2 linked regions of the Pelodiscus sinensis genome follow. The protein of the gene in region 1 interacts with the protein of each later gene in a biochemical or structural test. Links are inferred from orthologs where the notes say so. Each region holds a gene or a part of one and is shown in the gene's direction. Other genes may lie near its edges.

Region 1 (7,225 bases):
GGGAGGTTGTGGAATCCCCATCTCTGGAGATATTTAAGAGTAGGTTAGATAAATGTCTATCAGAGATGGTCTAGGCAGTATTTGGTCCTGCCATGAGGGCAGGGGACTGGACTTGATGACCTCTCAAGGTCCCTTTCAGTCCTAGTATTCTGTGATTCTAAGAGCAGGCAGGGCTCTTGCTACATTTCAAAAGTGGAGGTGCCCTTATCAACTAATCAAATGGACAATGCAAATTGCATCCACCATTCAATTAGCTGATTAATCTAAATTTAACATTCTTACTTTTTACCTGAAACACTATTTTTCACTCTGCACCAAATTGCTGTTGTTTTGATCAGGAAAGCTACTCAACTTGACCTAGAGCTTCTTTGCTACATGACAGTGAGCTGCTGGCAGTGTGGTCTCCCTTCAAATTTGGAATTTTCTCTTTGCTAGATGCTAAATATGCCAAATCTTTTTACTCTTTTGGACATATACTGCAAAGCCTCTACTTTTGAGCTGGCTTTTGTGAGTTTCTGGGGAAGTCTTAGTAAACTAAGGCCTAGTATGTTTTTTATTTGGATTCTGGGGGTTGGAGTAGGTTGATGCTCTTTTGATTTGGTGTTTAGTATGCAAGTAGTGCATCTTCAATCAATTTACTTTAAATCCCAGTAAAGAGCAGCAGGTATTCTTCTTTAGGTCCAGTGCCTCCTTTGGTTTGGAGTCTGAGGGTCTTGGTTTTGCCAAGAGCAAGGAGGGAGGCACAAAGGGTATGGCTTTGGGAATGTATACACAATGCTGCCGCAGTCCTAGGCCAGGCTGGCTGACACAGGCTTGGGCTGAGGGGCTAAACATTGCTATGCAGACAGTCAGGCTCAAGGAGGAGTCTGGGCTCCATCCTGAATCTGAATATCTACCACCTATTTTACATCCCAAGTCAGCTGACACAGGCCAGCCATAGGTATTTAATTGTTGTTGTGCACATGTGCCCTACAATGTAATATGAGCCCAGGTTTAACAGAACTCAAGTTAGCAGATCCTCAGTTTGTTAAACTTGGGCTTGAGTATTTACACTCATCTGAAACCACAGGTAAGGAATGGTTGAACCCTGGGTCCCAATCTGCAGCTCCAGCATCTACACTGCATTATGTAAATCAGTGTCCAATCATCCGTATCCCAGACCTCCTATCGTCTTCCCAAAATGTGGGTGTTTCTTTGTTGTGAAGTTTCAGAAAATCTGACAGACACTAAACTTGACTGTCCAGAGGACAAAGGAAGTTAGACCATGAGAGTGTGGGATACCTGATTGCCACAGAAAGAGTCCAATGGGCTTGAACCCTAGGTCTTGGCTAGGACGCCCAGTTTTTTATCGGAAAGTATAGTGGAAAAGGGAACCTGACAGTGACCATTCAGATCTGCTGACTGGACACCCAAAGTCCAATTACAGTGGTTGGGGGAGACACCAGATCAACACTCAAAGTCCTTATTCAGCTGGGTGGGTGATGATCTGATGTTTCCCCCAGCATCAGGGGGCTGCAGCTCCCTCGTGACCTGGGTGGGATGGGAGTAGGGGGCAGAAGAGGGAAAGAGCAAAGAGTGGAGGGGACAGCAAGAAAGAGGACCAAATGGGATTGGACCTCAAGAAAGAGGTGAGATAGGGGCAGGTACCTCAAGAGAAGAGAGGATGGAGGAGGTTCTGGCATGCCTGCTGTAGTGTCTGGTTTTTAAATATTACAAAGTTGCTACCTTAGTCCTGGCTTCACTGAGCCTCAGCTGCTCCACCCCAATGTGGTCCTGAGTATGAACCCTCAAATAGCGTGATTTGTGTGTAGACAGAAAATACTTGAGGCTGAGTTTGAACCCTGGGCTTACAGTGCTGTATACCAGTGGTTCCCAATCTTTTTTATACCATAGCTCGGCAAACCGCTAACATTTTATTTGAATATTTGCACACTCATTATGTGAATAATGAATATTCAAATATGCAATAAAATGCTGCTGGTCTGCCAAAAGTTTGTGAATGGGTATGCTAGTCCGCATTATAAAAAGCCCAAGCCCCCAGAACTCCTCAGTGCCAGCCCTAACACCTAGAGGCCCCCACCCCTCCACTACTCCCCCAAACCAGACACTGATCCCAGAATCCCCTGCACCCAACCGCCCCCCCCCCCCCCCGTGCCAGCTTCCTGCTCTCAGAGTCCCCAGTGCCAGTCCCCATCTCAAATGCCGCAGTGCCAGTCCCCCCTTAGAGCCCTCCATCACCAGACTCCCCAGTGCCAGCCTCCTGTTCCGGAGCTCCACTGCACCCAATCCTGCTGGGCCTCCCACACCCCGAGACCCCCAGTATTAGCTTCACCCTCAGAGCCCCCCCATGCCAGCCCCCTGCCTCTTAGAGCCCCCCCCCCAGCACCAACCGTGCCCCTGGACCTTCCAGTGCCTGCTTCGCCCCCCGCCCTGAGCTGCCTCCTCGCTTCCAGCTGAGCACTGCTGCCCAGGTTGTGGCTGCTCTAAGCGTGCCGTGCTAGGCTCCGCGTGGCCCTCCCACTGCACAGTGAACTGATCTTCTGCAGCTGGGGGAGACCTCTCAACAGCTGTGGTGTGAGGGGAGGCCCTGGGTGGTGTACCTAAGTCCCCACCCCCAGAGCTTCCCTGGCTCACCATTGGTCTGTGGACCGACGGTTGGGAACCACTGCTGTATACAGTTCTGCATAGCTAAAGCATGCAGTAGATTTTGGTGACCAGGGGTTTGGTCATGCTATAAGGCAGAGGTTAATGTTACCATATGTGAACGTTCAAAAAAGAGAACACTCCTGAGAGAGAGTGTATCTGTATCAGTAGCTACCAACTCATTACGGCTACGGCTACATTGGCAAGATTTTGCACAAATACTTTGAATGCAAGAGTTTTTGCGTTAAAGTATTTGCGCAAGAGAGCATCTACGCTGGCATGTGCTTTTGTGCAAGAGATGTGCTTTTGCGCAAAAGCATCTGTGCCAGTGTAGATGCTCTCTTGCGCAAGAAAGCTCTGATGGCCATTTAGCCATCGGACTTTCTTGAGCAAGAAATTCATGTTGCCTGTCTACACTGGCCTCTTGCGCAAGAACAGTTGCACAAGAGGGCTTATTCCTGAGTGGGAGCATCATAATTCTTGCGCAAGAAGCCCTGATTTCACACATTAGAATGTCAGTGTTCTTGCGCAAGAACTCCCCGCCAGCGTAGACAGGCAGCAAGTTTTTGCGCAAAAGCACCCACTTTTGCACAAAATCATGCCAATGTAGACACAGTCATGGTGTATTAGTATAGTGTAGATACAGATACACTCCCTCTCAGGAGTGTCCTTTTTGGTGTCCTTTTTTGAAAGTTCAAACATGGTTAACCCTAGTAGAGATGGGGAACCTTTTTTGGGTCAAGGGCTGCTGGCCCACAGAAAAAATCAGTTGGGACTGCACACAAGAGAGAAGCAAAAGAACAAAAACAAAGAAACAAAAAAGCATAAAACCCTCACTAACATGGCCCACAACTGAGGAAGACACTTCCCACATTCCCCTTGCACACCAGAGGCTAGGGGAGCCCAGCCTAGTAGATTTTGTGTGCTTCAGCCCTGCAGTGGGACAGCAGCACGGTGGAAGGGGGTCAGGGGGAAACTGGAGCGCAAGCAAGGGCTCATCAGTACTAAGGGGTGTGGGAGGACTGAGCCTTGGGAGCTGGATCCAGGCAAGCCAGGGCACAGGGCCATATCCAGTTCCTGGGCCTGAGGTTCCCCACCCCTGCTATAGGATGTGACCCTGCAGGTGTAAAGGGGGGGAGGTAAGAGCAGAGCAATGATTTCCTCCTTCAGGCGTCACTCAACCTCCTTGCTACTGAAAGCAGATCGTTTGGACCCTTGAAGTCCACATAAGAACTGACCCTGCGGGGACAACAAATCCCAGCATCCCATGCTCCACAGTCCTTCGAGCAGACAAGGACCCGGCCGAGCATTGCATGCTGGGAACTGTAGTCTCTTTCGGGCTTCTGGCTGCTAGGTGGCGCCTTGCGTGCTGGGGGGATCGGTATTCTTGGAGGCGCGAGCCGCGCGTTTCTACGCTCTGTAGCGCGTTTCTACGCTCTGTGACGTGCAATCAGACCTCTCCATGATCCCGGCGGAGTTCTCGTGAGATTCCCCACCCCTCTCCCCCGCCGCCTCGCGAGAAGAGCTTGCTTTTCAAACGGACCCATGAGAATGTTGCTTTGGCTCGAACTGGCCAATCGGAGAGCGAAGACGCGGGAAATTTAAATCCCGCCACGGGCGGAGTCAAGGCAAAAGGGGCGGAGGCGGCGGCAACGTGTGCGCTGGTGCTTGGCCTGGTCGAGTCAGAGGCTGCGCCGCAGGGACGAGCAGCGATCGCTGGTGCAGGTGCGCGCGCGGCGGGGGGAAGGTGTCTCGTGCGCTGAATTGGGAGGCAGTGGGGGGGGGAGGTTAAAGAAAAGGGGGAGCTGAGGGGCTCTAGGGCGTGTGTTGGAGCGGTGGGAGTGGGGGGGGCAGGGCTGTGTGTGCTTGTGAGGGGGAGATTCTGGGGCTGTGTGGGGGGATGGGCTGGAGTTATCGAGGGTGAAATGCGTTGGGGGTTTCGTATGGGTTGCACAGATAGTCGGGTGGGGGACCGTTTCCCCCCCCCCCCTTTGCTCATTGCAGGTTACTAAAGCGATGGGCGATTCCTAGCCCGCCACTCTCCTAAGGAAGGCACTGGCTGGGTTGCTGGCTTATTTTAATTCGCCTAATATATTCTTCAGGGTGCGACTGTGGTTGCTTCGTGGTGTTGGTTTGGGGCTTGGTTTAGCCTCCACACGGAGCGGAGATCTGTACCCCGTTATAAATGAAGCGGCTGCGCTACGCTTGGGGTGTGTCTGCAAAATGGCTCTCTCCCTTTAAAAGGCCATTGTCAAAGTGAAATCTAGTCAGTTCCGTAAAGGGAATCGAAATTTTAACCCAGGGAGCTGTAGATCCTGTAGCAAATCTCTTCTGTTTTGTTGGGGGGAGGGGCGGAAGCTTCCTTGTCACTGTGCCTGAATGATCAGTGGTGTTTGCAGAAGTAATTAATGTGATTATACGTTGATAGCTGCAGAAAACCTAAAATGTATAATTTTTATTTGTGGTAAACTTACGTATCACTTGTAACAATAAAAAATGGTTGTCTCATTTGAAATGAGGCAATGCTCCTTGTTTGCACATTATTCCACCTCAGGTCTGGACATCCCTATTTCTAACTCCCATCTTGATTTCAAATGCATATCTTTCTCTAAAATCTAAGTAAGTTAGATTTGAGTTTAATATGTATTTCAGGTCTCTCTCTTCTGTTGATATTGCCTGAGTCTGACTACTATAAAAATGTCTACCAATGAGAATGCTTGTGCAGCAGTTGCTCGTCTGAACAGGTTCAAGAATAAAGGAAAAGACACTACAGTGAGTATCTTTTTTTTTAACTGGAGTCTGTGCTCATCAGTGTTTAAGCATAATTTAGCCCTTTAAAAAAGAAAAGAGTTCCTCATGACGGCATATCTGCCTTTCTCAGGAAATGAGGCGGCGGCGCATTGAAGTCAATGTAGAGTTGAGGAAAGCTAAGAAAGATGATCAGATGCTTAAAAGAAGAAATGTCAGCATTCTCCCAGATGATGCTACTTCACCTCTTCAAGAAAATCGAAACAATCAGGTAACTAAATCTCCCAGCTTCATCAGTGGATGTGTTACAATGGATGTCTGTGGTACCATATAATTGTTACCAATTATAACAGAGTACATAGTGCCAAATCCCTGCTTGCATAGCCTCAGACTGCAGGCTTTGTCTACAGTTGGGACATGGCTTTAAACACTGTCTATGATAATACTAACTGGTTGCAATAAAATGAATTAAAATTCATGTTGTCACACCTAATAACTGTCTTTTCTAGGCTAGACAAAATTATGGCTGATAAGGATTCAGAATCCCATTATAATTGGACAATGCTCCATTTTTAATTTAAGTGCCTTCTTTTAATAGTCTGCCTTGTGGACTGCTGAGAGAGCTTTTGCTTTACTATACAGACACCTTTTTCCCAACATAGTCTTAAGTTTCTGTTTCTCATGCAGGCCACTGCACACTGGTCTGTTGAAGAAATTGTCAAAGGAATTAACAGTAACAACTTGGAGCTGCAGTTGCAGGCAACTCAGGCTGCCAGGTAAGAACTTTCGTGATCGGATTTGCTGGGAATTAGCTGATTTCCTCCCCCTCCCCCCCCATCAGAGCACAAGTTTATAGCAAATACTTGTTAAAACCTAGTTCTGTGTATAGAAACCAGCAATATTTTAATCTGCTCTCTGAAGTAAATGTTCTTGGAATTGACTTTAGTCAGCATGGAGACTAGGGCCAAACTGAATTATCACTTAGCATCAGTATACCCTTGAATAATCTAAGGTGTGGCCTGGTGCACACTAATTATGCCACTGATTCTTAGGTGTGACATAGAGGTGCTGCTCTCTGTACATTACAAGATCTCTCTTGAGCAGTTCAGATGCATTTGTATTGTTGCAGCACCATAAAGCATTTCACTTAAGTTACTCAACTGAAAACCTCTTAAGGAAAAATTTCCTTAAGCAATTTTAACTCTTTAAAGCTTCCTAGCTAGCTAATGTTCCAAGTGATCGGTAGCTTATCTGAACTTCTCAGTGCATTGTGCTACTTCCCCTTTTGAATTTTTTTCTTACTTTAAAAAATAGTTCTCAAGCTTTGCTGGAATCTACCCTAAAGATTTTAGTGGACAAAATATAACTCCCTTATTTTTTTTCCTTCCTTAGGAAACTCCTGTCCAGAGAGAAGCAACCTCCAATAGATCATATAATCCGGGCTGGCTTGATACCAAAATTTGTTGCCTTTTTGGGTAGAACAGACTGTAGCCCTATTCAATTTGAATCGGCTTGGGCGCTTACCAACATTGCCTCTGGCACATCAGAGCAAACTAAGGCTGTAGTGGATGGTGGGGCTATACCAGCCTTTATATCTCTGTTGGCTTCACCTCACACTCACATCAGTGAACAGGCCGTGTGGGCTTTAGGAAATATTGCAGGTATATCCATGTAGAGCTTGATCATTGTTTTCAGCCCTACTTCCTCAATGCAAGGGGAAGAGAGCCAATTGGGGACAGACTTTCAACTGAGGAGCTGTTGTGTGCAATATGCCTGACTATAATGCAAAGCTTGTAAATTCATACATAGCAAGAGTAAAATAGTGATTCAGATG
Region 2 (7,076 bases), on another chromosome or scaffold:
AACCAAAATTAAGGACACATTAGCCACGCTCCCTGCCACAAGAAATCCCACCCCTGGAGGTAGTACTCCTGGAGTCAAGATGGACACATGACCGGAAGTAAAGAGTGTCATGTGACCACTCTAAGAACTCTGCCTATAGGAATGGTTTCTCTCCCCCACCCCCGGGTACCCCCATGCAACTAGCCTGCAATTATATTAACCCACCTTGCATTTCATTAACTCGGGGAGTGGCTGGGGGAAGTGTTCCCTCTAAGATTTTTCTCCCATGAGCGGAGTGAGTTTTGTATTGTGCACCAATATTGAGTTCATGTGCGCTTGTTCGGATGTGTGCCACTGTGGCACCCAAGTTGTTAATTAATACCTTTAAACTTTTCCCTTTTCCCCACTGCTGCCATGTCTCCCACTCCTCCCTGGTGCTTGCTGTCCCCCATCCTCCTCTGCTGTCCTGGCCCCTGCCCTTCTCTCCCCTCATCCCTTTAGGGACCTGCCCTCTCCCCATCCTCTTTGACCCCTGCACCAGCACTTCTGTTTTCCCTGTGCCCACTTCTCCTCTAGCCCCACTCTGATCATCTATAGCTACCCCTCCCAATCCCTTCTCCTAACACCTCCCTCTACTCACCTGCTCTGCCTCTCTCCTCTAATGCCCGTCCTTCCCCTCCACATGTCTGCCCTTCTGCTTCACCCCCACAATCCTTTGGCACCTGCATCTTCCCTTACCACTGCAACTTCCTGGTGCCTCCCCCTTCCCTCACTGCTCCTACCCTCGTTGCCTGCTTTCTCCCTGGTGCTCACCCCCTCACCCATGTTCTGCTCCAGTTCCCCTCATGCCCCTCTGTGCCCTTACACATGACTTGCTCCATCCTCATGCCCACCCCTCCTTTCAACCCCTCTTCTCCTGGCATCATCTCCACCCCTCCTCCTTCCTTTTGCTCCCATTATCCCTCCCCCTCTCCCAGCATCACCCTGTCCCCCCTCTTTCCCACCTGCACTGATACCTTCCCCCCCTTCCTCCCTTTTCCTCATTGTCTCCTCTTGGCCCCCTGACATTTGTCTCTCCTCCACCCTGCCCCGCGGTGCCTTCCCCTTTTTTCTCCTGTCCTACCCCCTCCCTCAGTACAAGTCCCTTTCTCTCCTTACCCACCTCCCCCTTGTTTTCCCCCTGCCTCACCTTCTGCCTTCCAGTTTGCAGGGCTGGAGCTGGGGTCATGGTGCTAATTTTAGTACTGCTGCCCCAGTCCCCACCAGCTGCCCCAGCTCCAGCTGGAGTCAAGCTGCAGCTGCACGAGTCCCATTCCAATTGGGCTGCCCCTGCTGGAATGCACCTAATGAGACTACTACTTGACTCCAGCTGGAGCTGGGGCTGCCTGCGGGGACTGAGACTGCAGTACTAAAAATAGCACCATGGGCGGCCCTGCCTCCAGCTGGAGTCAAGTGGCAGCCATACAAGGCGTGCTCTTGGACCTGCCTGGTGTGTGTTTTCCCTCCCTCCCTTTGCCCCGCAGTGGCCACTGTACAAAGAACAAGCGGCAGACTGGAGATGGAGGAGGAGGCAGAAGCATCCTGAGATGGGAGCATGCGGGGGGAGGGAGGGACTGGCATGGGGTTGCCAGGCATCATCGTGCACTGCACTGGAGCTCGAAGAATGCTCCGGTCTCCAGCTTGTGACCAAGCCCAATCCAGAAACTGTGCGCCACCGGAAGCTGCCCTGGTTGTGGCTGGCAAAGCACCCAGGAGCCGCCTAAGTGCTGGGGGAGGGCATGTTGCTACTGCACCATGCTAGTGTCTGCGAGGCTGTCCCAGCGTGGGAGGGAAATGACAGTGCAGTTTCTAGGATGATCTGACTGGGTTTTCCAGGACATTTCCCACATGATAGGGACACTGGGACAGAGCATTTAAATTCGGGACTGTCCCAGAAAAACCGGGACGTATGGTCAGCGTAACCGTGGTGTACATATGGCTAGAATAATGGAAATATTCTTCTGTGAACCTAGTTTACCACTTTTCAAGGAGGTGGATTTACAACACTGATAGTAAAACCCCTTCCATCACCCTCTGAAAGTGGGTATTGTGGGATATTGGTTTGCAGGAAAGATAGATCTTTCTAATGGTGAATCATAGCACGCTGCACTTCTTTCTGTCCCTTGACTCTGCCCTCATTTTGTCTTGCTTCAGGTAAAATCCTAGCAAATACTTGTTTCCAAGGTATTGTGGTAGGGATGTTTGAGTTAGGGATGTTAGCTATTGGGTAACTGCATTCAATTTTAATGGTTTAAAAAACAGCTCCCATTGAGGACTGGCTGACTGCCACCCTGTGCTGATAAAGAGGCAGTAGCGCAAGGTAACAGCAGTTTCTGTCCATAGGATGTGAAGCAGGTCTCCCCACAGACAGGGGCTGTTTTCTGGCAGCTTCCCCTGCCCTCCACCCCCAACTGCTGCCTCTGATAGAGGCCTCAGAGGGGGTAGATGGCACCATAGAGTTGGTGCTGGGGGGAACCAGCTTTTAAGCCTGCTCTCTTCCCGCCCCCCTCCCACCTCCCCCTCAGCACCGGCTCCTGCTCTCCCCACCCCTGCTAAGCTTTATACTGCAGAGCCCACAGCACAGGTAAGCATGTAACTGCTGAAATTCTCGGCACTTACATGATTATCTTTTTACATGATTTTTAACATCCCTAATCATGGTTTAGTCAGTCAGATATTCTGCCTACTATATTTTAACTGAGTTATGGAAATAAGTATTCCTCGGCGTGAAACTCATGCCTGATAAGTGATGTAATGATTTAGAGCAGACATTCAGTGTTTTGAAAAGTTCTTTATAGTATTCCATGCAAGTGGATTGGAGGAGCAATGAATTTTTCTTTTCTGCACTGCACTGCTGACATAGTAATTCTTGCCTTCAGTGACTGTGTCTTCCTCCTTAATATGTGAATTATGTTAGTGTCTGTCAGCATAGACACTTGCCTGGGTCAGCTCAAAAAAATTTTTACTCTCTCTAGATTAAACTGTGGTCTGTTAAGGAAGATGCATTATGATGTCTTTCTCATTCTAGGGATGTTAAATGTTGGTTAATGGAATTGTCAATTAACCTCATGAATTCTTATTGGTTACTCAGCTATTCTATAGACCCCAGGGGTGGGGCCGGCAGCCAGTGCGTTCCAGCCCCACTCATGAGGAGCCCCTTGCCACTCTGCGCTGCTGCCTTTGTATCAGCAGAGTGGAGTGCCTGGTGGGAGCTGGTCCATGAAGGGAGCCAGTTTTAAAACTAGCTCCTTTTGCGAACTGGCTGTCACCCCTCATTGCTGCCTTTGATACAGTGGTGGCAGCCCCTGTCTGGGGAAAGAAGGGGATCTGAGTTCCTGGACCTGGCATGAGCCGGAACTGAGCCAGGCTGCCTGCCCGCCTGACTCCCAATACATTTTAAATGAAGTTGCAGTGGGGGTAGGTCCCGGCATGAGCCAGGATTGAGCCAGGCTGCTGCCCGGGCTGCTAAAGAATTTACTGCAATGAGGGTGGAGGGAGAATGTGTGTAGTCTATCACATTAACCAATATTTTTATCGGTTAATCGACTACACTGTTACATCCGTCTCTGATACATAGCAATATAGCCCCGCAACCAATTGTTCATAATGTTAATGTGAATTAAATCATTTTCCTTTCAGGTATGGGCCCATAAATAATCCCATTGAAATTAATGTAGGCTAAAAAAGATTTAATCCAAAATCTGAAATGGGACTGTGAAGATAGACTTAAATTTCATTCTTTTTGAGGTTTTTCTGTTATTTTATAATAAGCTCTTAAAGGAGAAAAGCCCATTCTGTCTTTGTGGAAATAAGAGTGGTTTGGCGAACTGGCTGAAATGCCAGATGCAACTGAAAGGGCTCTGAAATTCACAACTCGTGCTCTGAGATCGGAGAAGGAAATCATAGTCATCCGAATTCAAAGTTGTTTCAATGACAATTTCCCAGGGAAGAAAATCTCTGAAAAGCATACAAGTAGGTTGAGACTGGTGGGAATAAAAACTTAATTCAGTAGCTAACATAGCTTTGGCTAAAATGTCTTTTATTTCCTGGTTGTATCAAAAAAGGATGAAGGCCGTAGATGAGAGGTGGAGTGTGAAATAGAGAAAACTTTGTGTAAAGATGAAAAACCAGCAACATTCTTGTAGCTACTATAATTCCCATTAACCATGGGATTATGGGAAAGGAGCACTGGTATGTTTTGTTTCTTATCATTGCAGGAATGTTTTCAAGTCTGCATAATTCACAAGTGACACAAGTTTGATTAGGGTAGAGTATGTCAATATATCTATTAGGGATGTAAGTGAATAGTCAACTAATCGATAAGCCTGGGCTTATCGGTTAGTCACATCGATTACTCGCATCCCCCCACCTGCTGCCTCTGTATTAGAGGCAGCAATGTGGGGGAGCAGAAGTCGGTGCTTGGGGGAGTGGGCTTAAAAGCTCCCCACCAGCACTATCTCTGAGGCGCCATCTCCCCCTTTGCCCCCTGCACTGCTGTCTCCATCAGAGGCAGCAGTGCAGAGAGGTGTCAGGGGCTGCTATGAAGTAGCTTCTGCCCGTGGCAAGCCCAAGCTTGCTGCAGGCAGAGATTGCTCTGGCAGCAGCAGCCACTGTCTGCAGGAGGTCCCAGCTCCCCGCTGGGACCCCCTGCGGACGGGCTGCTGGACCCAGTGTGAGTAGGGACTGAGCAAGCTGGGCTCAGACCCAGTTCACTCTGGGTCTGGGAGCTCCTCCCTCTGCGGCTTTACAGTTTAAATGTAGTAAAAGCCAGTAAGGTAGATAGCCCAGCTCCTACTACATTTAAACTGCAGAACCACAGAGGGGTATCTCCCAGGCTTTGTAAAAGCTGGGACTGAGTGCTTTCTCCCTTATCGACTAATTGTATAGTTGATAAAAATTCTATCAAATACCCAATTAGCGAACTACCCACCTGTTAACATCCCTAATACCTATATTAAACAGCTGCTTTTCTAGGCCAGGCTTTCCAAGCCAATACTTGGTCCATTTGTTTCATGAGCACTGATTTTCATTCAGGCTGAAAAGATTAACTGAATGACTTATGTATTGGTTGATTTCCTGGCCTTGCAAAATTATACCTTCCTGGAGTGAGCAATATTTCATTATGGACAGATCAAATATTTGTTTTACCATGGTAATGGTCGATGAAGTCATTTTACCACATACCCTACGCAAGTTTACGAGCTATGTCTACAGAGCATGCTTATTTCAAAATAAGCTATTTCTGAATTTTTTTTCCAAAATAGCTTATTTCAAAATAGCACGTCTACACCACAGGGAAGCCTCAAAACTAGTCCAAGGCAGGCTTCCCTAATGTGGATGTGCTACTTCAATTTATAGCCTGAGAAGGCACTTGGAAGTAATTACTTTGAAAGGCCTTGGGGAGGAACTATTTTGAAATAGCAGCAGTGAAGCATCCAAACTACTGCTATTCTGAAATAGCTATTACAGAATAAGCATTATTCCTTGTGAAATGAGCCAGCCATTATTTTGAAATTATTTTGAAATAATTGAATTGCTGTGTAGATGCTCGCATTATTTCGAAATAACATTAGTTATTTCGAAATAACTGTGTTGTGTAGACACACCCATATTGGATATCACCTTTTAAGAGGATTTTGTTAGCTAATATGAGCTAATGAATGTGATTATAGTCAGGTCAACTAAATACTTCAGGGAAAAGTGATGCCTCTAACCTTTCTGTTTAGGGGCAGGAGGGTATGCCTTTACAACATGCAGTGTTCTCTCACATACACCAAAGACCTAAATAGTTTACATCACTAATAAAGTCATCACATTTGTAATAGAAAATTCATATTCTGATTTAACAGATAGTTTGCATTACTTCTAAAGCATTTTTCCAGCATTTTATAGTGTATATGTTGATGCTCTTTAGAGGTACAAACAGACCAACCTGGGAAAAGTAGGAGTGGGGGGAAGAGCTGGTACAAAAACTGAAATGTGTCTTGACTTTGAGTGACAGTTGTCACTTGTATGATCTCAACTAAGGTGTGAAGGTATCAGATCAATGAGGTGAACCTGGAAATCTGTGTAAAATAATATGGGGAGAGGAAGAGTAGCATAGCTTGGCTTTGGCTTGAAGGAGGTTTCTGTTCCTAGAGTATTTTATACTGGAAGCTCTTTACAAAAGTTAATGCTCGTAATGTGGCTTTAAGCAAGAGTTAGTTTTCCAGAGAACTTAACTGTTCTGCTTGGAATTCTCTAGGTGCTCAGGCCTAACTCATAAAATAGCTGTTGGCAGTCCTGCATAATTGTGAAAATAAATATACATCTAAAGCAAAAAGTATGACATTTTCACATCAGTTTTGCATGGATATAATACAGGCTATGAATTCACTTTCTGAAATTTCAAATGAAAATGTAAATCCTAAATAATTTCATACACTTCATATCTGGCTGGTAAACAGATTGCATGGGAAGTATTTTTTACTCTGAATTCTTAACCAAATATATTATGCATCTTTAGGTTTTGCAGTTATGGAACTCAGTGATGCCAATTTACAGACTTTAACAGAATACCTAAAGAAGACACTAGATCCAGATCCTTCTATACGGCGTCCAGGTAAAACAGTTAAAATGCATAGCTCTTGGCTTAAAAGCATAGTGTTTGTTCAGCTCTTCTGTCTGCCTGAACTGCCACTGAAGTTTGTTAAATGTGATCTTTTTCCTATCTTAAACTATTTTTGATTAGTTTCTAAAGCAGTTGAGTCTCTGAAGTAACCCTGTGACAAAATGTGTAAATAAAAGCTATCTAACTCTTCTCTTTTTCCTTCTCTTCCATTTCCCTTCTTAATTTCATATTCTTTTATCTAAATACGGTTGTCAGTATAAAGAAGCAATGCTGTTCTCAAGCATGGTTAATACTAATTCAAAATAATCCAGAATTTGCTGTGTGTGGATCATTGTTTTTTAGAAATGGTGAAGATGAAATATTTCCACAGCCTGCTCTGCATTAAAAGCTTTTATTTGTGGTAGAAACACATTAGCACCACAGGTTTTAAATATTTGTCAATTTTTGT

Evidence for each region.
Region 2: the proteins of KPNA2 (region 1) and CSE1L form a complex in vitro, tested with the Homo sapiens proteins (2 studies listed by BioGRID). The link is inferred for Pelodiscus sinensis from reciprocal best matches to the Homo sapiens genes KPNA2 and CSE1L.

The regions. Positions count from the first base shown.
Region 1 is NC_134730.1:20,964,393-20,971,617, reverse strand, and holds the start of KPNA2 (importin subunit alpha-1), read left to right. Parts: upstream 1-4,213; 5' UTR 4,214-4,368; intron 4,369-5,295; 5' UTR 5,296-5,340; coding exon 5,341-5,415; intron 5,416-5,524; coding exon 5,525-5,662; intron 5,663-6,078; coding exon 6,079-6,167; intron 6,168-6,783; coding exon 6,784-7,052; intron 7,053-7,225.
Region 2 is NC_134728.1:20,606,657-20,613,732, reverse strand, and holds the start of CSE1L (exportin-2), read left to right. Parts: upstream 1-4,069; 5' UTR 4,070-4,184; coding exon 4,185-4,209; intron 4,210-6,523; coding exon 6,524-6,619; intron 6,620-7,076. UniProt on the Homo sapiens protein: Export receptor for importin-alpha. Mediates importin-alpha re-export from the nucleus to the cytoplasm after import substrates (cargos) have been released into the nucleoplasm.